2 linked regions of the Schizosaccharomyces pombe genome follow. The gene in region 2 interacts genetically with the main gene of each other region. Each region holds a gene or a part of one and is shown on either strand. Other genes may lie near its edges.

The links.
Region 1: mutations in ent3 (region 2) and sst4 impair growth when combined (synthetic growth defect), as found in Schizosaccharomyces pombe (one study listed by BioGRID).

Annotation. Positions count from the first base shown.
Region 1 is NC_003424.3:2,475,843-2,479,604, reverse strand, and holds the start of sst4 (ESCRT 0 complex subunit sst4), read right to left. Parts: upstream 1,735-3,762; 5' UTR 1,487-1,734; coding exon 1-1,486. Other genes in the region: pbr1 (putative dehydrogenase), read left to right, coding at 2,509-3,639.
Region 2 is NC_003421.2:273,108-276,869, reverse strand, and holds the start of ent3 (ENTH/VHS domain-containing protein Ent3), read left to right. Parts: upstream 1-2,121; 5' UTR 2,122-2,272; coding exon 2,273-3,703; 3' UTR 3,704-3,762. Other genes in the region: malate dehydrogenase Mae2, read left to right, coding at 1-1,356.

The sequences.
Region 1 (3,762 bases), on a different chromosome or scaffold from region 2:
TCGGGACAGAAGAAGACGAAGCCTGGGGAATGGTTGAACTATTCCTCACAGTGCTAATTACATCCGGCTCAGGTTCAATTGATCGGTTTGAATCCATGCTAGAATCAATATAATGATGTGCATACGTGGATGAAAGTCTTTGTTCTATTAGAGCATCATTCAATCGCATACAAGTTTGGAGCTTTTGCAAAGCTTGAATTAGCCCGTTATATTTACTCATTGTTTCACCAAGCGATCGCATCATACGAGTTCGCATAACACCCATATTTTCGTGGAGTTCCTGTAGCTGATATTCCGTAAAAATAGACCCAGGTGGTAGCTTTTTTAACTTTTGCACCAAAGTAGCATATAAAGTGATGTTATCAGCATCCGCAGTAGAAATTAAAGTAGAAGGATTATCACTCGGCCTACCAGAGAAAGGAGATGATCGAATATCAGTTGAAACGGTGTGAGCTGGAACACTAGGGTAAGAAATATTCATATTGTTAGGTGCCGTAACATTGTCATCCTTTTGAGATGACTTCTGTGCTTCCTCAAGGCTGATAGCAATAGCACGTTTAAGCTCTTCATCTTCGTCTTCTGTAAGATGTTGGTCTTGACTAATAACTACATTGGCCTCTGAAGGTCTTTCATAAGATGGAGGTTCTCGTGATTGAGGCATTTCTTTGAGGGAAAGCTCAATAGCTCTTTTGATATCTTCGTCTTCATTATTAGTTACGGGTTTAGAGGGTGTCTTTCTAGTCTTCGCATGGAATTTCCTTTCATTTCGCGCTCTTGATTTGGAACCTTTGGGTTTCGTACGTAATGAATAACAACTGTCGCATACCCTAACAGGCTGGTTAATTCCAAGGTGAGGAAGAGAAAGTGTTTTTGAAGAACATTGATTGCAAAACACGCCACCGCAATTTCTACAATGGTGTTTACGATTAGTGAATGTAAAAGGTGTACGACAACGAAGACAAACTTCACTATCTGTCCAATCGGGCGGTGTTTCAGTATCTAAAAATTTGCTAGTAATGTTCTGAGAAGGCTCAGGGAACTCATAATCACCGTCTTTTAAATTTTGATAAACATGAATAATATAACTAAGTGGAGAATTGGTATCTGGAACTGCCAAAGCCCAAGACTGAATGTATCGTAAAATGACCATTTTAACGTCTTCGTCTATTCCTGCAGGAGATCGTAGAATAGATACCAAATTATCCATAAACTCTCTAGAAGCTATTTCCAATAAAAAACCGGAACCCCCATTTTTAACGCAGGTATCTGTCAACTTCAATGCCATTATTTGAACATTCGGATTCGAATGATCAATTCGGGATTTAAGAATACGCATAGCAAATTTCGGATCAACAGACTTACTACGTATTTGATCAGAAATTTCTAAATATAATGAAATTTCTTCAGAGCCAGCAGGAAGCGTTTCCGATGTAGCCTTTTCTATGTCGGAAGCAAACTGAGAATTGGAATTCCACCACCGAGACATCGTTATGAAAATAGAGAAGAAAAGAAAAACCGAAATTAAGAAACAAAAGAAATCTTTTTATTATTTGTAAGCTAAATTGTCACCAAACAAATAACCAATGGCCTTCAAAAATTCCTAATAAACAAAAGCAGCAGGTGAAGTATAACAACTTTGGCACAATTCTTCTGATTGTTTGAAATTATGGCAAAATAATGTATTGTAAATCCTCCTTTCCAATAAAATTCAATTTGAGAAAGAGTTTGGTTCTCGACAGCAATAACAGATTGTTCGTGGCTCAAACTTGCTAAGTAATAGTGCGGGCAGCTTAGCACATCTCGGTATAACGGTTGATAGTGCAGAGCGGCAAATATAGTAAAGCAAGTATTGAGAGAACACTAATTGTCGTAAATATCGATGATGTTTATAGACTCATTAGGTAGATCAAGCTAAAGCGTGCAATGTAGTTTCAGCCTTTTTGAAGGTACCATAAATAAGCAAAGAAGGAAAACGATACCTCACCATTGAGTGCTGTACTTCTGGTAGGTGCTAATAAGACAGACCGTAATAATTTATATTTGCTATGCGAATTATATACTATCACAGTGTTTCTTGAAATATTATAAAAAATAATATGTCAAATGTTGTAGTATACACATACTTAATTTTCCTATGTTAAAACAAGTATTTAGTATATCTTCAAATTTCACATATATATCATATAAACAGTCTATTTTACTTTCCAATTTGTAAGCAATCTGTTTTACGGTCCATAAATTACATTATGTATATATACAAAAACAATTCAATCCTATCTTTGTCAAATTTATGGAGCTAGTTGCTATTAGTAATATGCACTAGCAGTCAAGCGATTAAATAATTGTACAATTAAATCCATCTAAAGTTAAAACAATTGTATAAAAAAAAGTTTTAAATTTTTGATTGTTAAGAATTAAATATGAAGACGAGTTTAGTATACCTCAATGTCAGTGGTATGTAGCTGCCTTTTGCCAACTCCATCAACAGATTTTGTAAATCAACGAAATATGCCTATTCCAATTATTGCTCACATAGCACAATTTAAGTATGAGCATCTAATTACACATTGGGCTCAATATACAAAGGCTGCGATTGCGGTTTCAACAATTGCGGCCTTTAAATTCTGGACTTCTGGACGAACAACAACTTGGGAGCGTAAAATGAACGGAATGGTAGTCATGGTCACTGGGGGAAGTTCTGGAATAGGACAAGTTGTCGTAGAGAAATTAGCTTCTCTGGGAGCTCAAGTTGTTATTCTACTTCGTACAGAGCCAGATCAATTTACTGTAGATTACATAATGGACCTTAGAAAGCGTACAAAAAACCAACTAATTTATACTGAAGTCTGTGACTTGAGCTCTATGTTATCTGTTAGGAAGTTCGCTACAAAGTGGATTGATTGCACTCCTATTCGTAGGCTGGATATGATAGTTTTGTGCAGTGGAGTTTTACTGCCTCCATTTATGGATAGGCAAACTACCGAGGAAGGTGTTGAGTTGCAATGGGCTACAAATTTCTTAGGTCCATACCAGCTACTTAGGATTCTCCGCCCAGTTATATATGGTCAGCCCGGGCACAGGGAAGTACGAATTGTTGCAGCTACCTGTTCATCATATATTTTAGGTAATATAGATTTCAACGATCTTGATTTATCTAATCATCCATATCCTCGAAAAAGTCCCTGGAAGGTAGTGGGAAATGCCAAACTTGCCTTGATGACTTATCTTTATGATTTTCAGAAAAAAGCTGAAGCTCATGAACGACCTGACAAAATGCCGTGTAATTTACATACCATCATGGCAAATCCAGGTGTCGTTCGAACTCCAGGATTTCGAAGAGTTGTATCCTTTGGAAAGGTTTGGGGATTATTTCTTTATTTGTTACTTTGGCCGTTTTGGTGGCTTCTTCTGAAAGGTACTATTCATGGTGCTCAATCATTTTTTCATGCTATTTGCAGTCCCGAATTTGCTTCGATTACTCAACCCGTCCTTGTAAATGAATGTTCGATAGTTGAATATTCACGCAAAGAAATTACCGATCCGGAATTTGCTGAAAAACTAATAAAAGCTGCCGATGCCCAAATTGATGAAGTTGAAAAGCAATACAAGAAGAAGAAAATCAAGAAATCAAAAAAATAGAAGTTTAGCGAAAAATATGGAATGTCATTTGGTTGGAATATTCACCATAATAACGTAGGTCCGAAGTTAAAAGGTTGGTATTTTTAAAAAGACAAATACAGTGCTTAAACTTTAAGCTGTACA
Region 2 (3,762 bases):
TCCGATATATATCGTTATCCTGAGGGTTGTTATTTGGATATTGATCATAACGATTTGTCTTATATCAAGCAACAGCTTTCCGAGTTTGGAAAATCCGATAGTGTCGAATACATTATCATTACCGATTCTGAAGGTATTTTGGGTATCGGCGATCAAGGTGTTGGTGGTGTCTTAATTTCAGTTGCCAAGGGACATTTAATGACTTTATGCGCGGGTTTAGACCCTAATCGATTCTTGCCCATTGTTCTCGATGTTGGCACCAACAATGAAACCCATCGTAAAAATCATCAATACATGGGTTTGAGAAAGGATCGTGTTCGTGGTGAACAGTATGACAGCTTTTTGGACAATGTTATAAAGGCCATTCGTGAAGTCTTTCCTGAGGCCTTTATTCATTTTGAGGATTTTGGTCTTGCCAACGCCAAGCGCATTTTAGACCACTATCGTCCTGACATTGCCTGCTTTAACGATGATATCCAGGGAACCGGTGCCGTAGCATTGGCCGCCATTATTGGCGCCCTTCACGTTACGAAATCTCCCTTAACCGAGCAGCGCATCATGATCTTTGGTGCAGGTACTGCTGGTGTTGGTATCGCCAACCAAATTGTTGCCGGTATGGTGACAGATGGCCTTTCATTAGATAAGGCTAGAGGTAATCTTTTCATGATTGATCGTTGCGGTTTGCTTTTGGAGAGACATGCTAAGATTGCTACTGATGGACAAAAGCCATTTTTGAAGAAGGACTCTGACTTTAAGGAAGTCCCTTCTGGAGACATTAATTTAGAGAGTGCTATTGCACTCGTCAAGCCCACCATTCTTTTGGGATGTTCCGGTCAACCGGGTAAATTTACAGAGAAAGCCATTCGTGAAATGAGCAAGCACGTCGAGCGCCCCATCATTTTCCCAATCTCTAATCCCACTACTCTTATGGAAGCGAAGCCCGATCAAATTGACAAATGGTCAGATGGAAAGGCTTTGATAGCCACTGGTTCCCCACTTCCTCCTCTCAATCGCAATGGTAAAAAATACGTGATTTCCCAATGCAACAATGCCCTCCTTTACCCTGCTCTTGGTGTTGCATGTGTGTTATCCCGTTGCAAGTTATTGAGTGATGGTATGCTGAAAGCAGCTTCCGATGCTTTGGCCACTGTTCCCAGATCTTTATTTGCTGCTGATGAAGCCCTCTTGCCAGATTTGAACAATGCTCGCGAAATTTCTCGTCACATTGTTTTTGCAGTCTTGAAGCAAGCTGTTTCTGAGGGAATGAGCACTGTGGATTTACCCAAAGATGATGCTAAATTGAAGGAATGGATTATTGAACGTGAATGGAATCCCGAATACAAGCCTTTTGTATAAAGCCTTTTATTTTATTTTTTTTTGAAACCTGCTTTTTGGTCTGCTTGTATTTAAAGATATTCATGTAAATAATTTTTTGAAAGATGAATTTACAATAAGTTGCTAAAAAGAAAATTCCCGTTTTATTCAAATGCTCATATTTGAATATTAGAAACATTATGTACATATTTAGGCATCTTCCATTAAGAATGATTAATGCGTAGAAAGATAATCAATTATTATTGCTTTTTTCTCCTATTGTTATTCATCAACTATATACATTAAAAAGATTGGAGTATAGCAGAGGTAGAATTTCTTTACTCTGAAAAGTAAATCGAAATAAATGGTATATGATTCAGTCTGAAATAAATTGAGCACGAGTATTCAAACCGTAAACCGTTATGTATTGAATGAACCATTTGATTTAATAAAGGTTATAATTTTACGAATTTATAATGGGTAGTTATATAGAAACACCAAGTTAACTTTATAATCAGATTAATCTGAATAATAAATTAAAAAGGGAAAGAGAAATCTGTATATGGATGAAACAAACAAATAGTAAATCGCATTTGACACCTACAAAATGTGTGTGAATATATACATACAAGGAGGGCCTGTAAATAGAACTTTGTATTCCCAAGGGATTTAGTGAACACCCTTAAAATCGTTATTACTAAATTTCGTAGATCAATAAAAAAAAATTCTCTCAGTAAAGCAGAATAAAGATATATGATGCAGTTTCTTGATAAAGTAAAAAGGAGCCGCGGCTAGACTGAGAAATCTGATTTCCCCATCCACCGACAACAATACTTCCATACTCGTTGCCTACGCGTTCTTTGAGAAGCGAAAACTTCTTTAAAAAAGTTTCATTTAAACAATTGGATATAAATTCCTTTAGGAACTAGAAATCCAAGAAAGTAAAACATTATCTAAGATGGAGTCCATTCAATCGACGATGAAGAACATCAACCTTTACGATATCAAGGCGGCGGTTCGTAAAGCACAAAATGTTGTAATGAATTATACATCTATGGAAGCCAGAGTTCGTGAAGCAACGAATAATGAACCCTGGGGCGCTAGTACTTCTTTGATGATGGAAATTGCCCAAGGAACTCACAACTACTCTCAGTTAAACGAAATTTTACCAATGATCTACCGTCGGTTTACCGAAAAAACTGCAGAAGAATGGCGTCAAATTTACAAAGCACTTCAGCTTCTGGAGTTTTTGGTCAAGAACGGGTCTGAAAGAGTGGTAGATGATGCTCGAGCACATCAAGCAACTATTAAAATGCTTCGTAATTTTCACTACATCGACCATCGTCAAAAGGACCAAGGGCTTAATGTTCGAACTCGAGCTAAAGAGCTGGTGGAATTACTAAACGATAGCGAACGTATCCGTAAGGAACGCAAGAGAGCGCGTCAAAATCGTGGTAAATTTATAGGTGTTGGTAGTGATGGAGATTCTAGGATTTCCACTAGCTCTAAATCTAGGTTTCCTAGCTTTGGCTCTTCCCGTGGTTCTTATAGAACTCGCGTTTACGGAGACGGTGGCGGCTTTACCGATTATGGTAATGGATACCATGATTCATCTTCTATGAGTGATTCCCGTGATGCATCCGATAACGATGTAGAGGAGTACAATGAAGATGGAGATGGTGGTTCCAGCGATGCTGCAACCGCAAACTCCACGCGTGGCTCACGTCGCACTACTACCAAACAATCTGACAAAGCTCCCGAGCAGCCAAAACAGGAATCTGCAATGATCGATTTATTGGGTCTTGACAATGAGCCTTCTCCTGCCCAACCACAAACAAATACTTCTGCTCCTTTGGCGTTCGAAGATGATGGCTTCGGTGACTTCCAAAGTTCTGCCGCTGCCCCAGCTTCTTCCACCTTAAACAATGCCTCTCTCTTTATGGGCTCTCAAACTGCTTCAACTGCTGCTAAAAATGACGATGATGCTTTTGATGATTTTCAAAGCGCTCCCTCCGCCAAACCCGCTTCAAATACTGCTGCCTTTTCGTCAATTTCGTTCGGTGGCTTTAATAGTTTAAATCAACTTCCCACATCATCCAGTGCCTTTACACCTCAACCTACTACCTTTAATACGGGTTATACATCTGCGTTTGGTATGTCATCCGGATTGTCTAATACCTCTTCACAAGCCGGTCTCGGATTAACCTCACAACAACCTACTGCTGCCAAATCTTCTGGATCTAATGGTGATGCTTTTGGTAGTCTGTGGTCCTCTGCCGTAAACAAAGTTCATCAAGAAAACTCAACTAGGGAAAGAGTTGTTTCGTCTTCTAGCGAACCGGTTTCTAAAACCCAAAACTTCCTAGACAACGACAATCTCCTATTGTAATAATTGTTTTTTATATTCCTAGTTTGTCTTTTTTAATACTTCCTATTAGCATGTGTTTG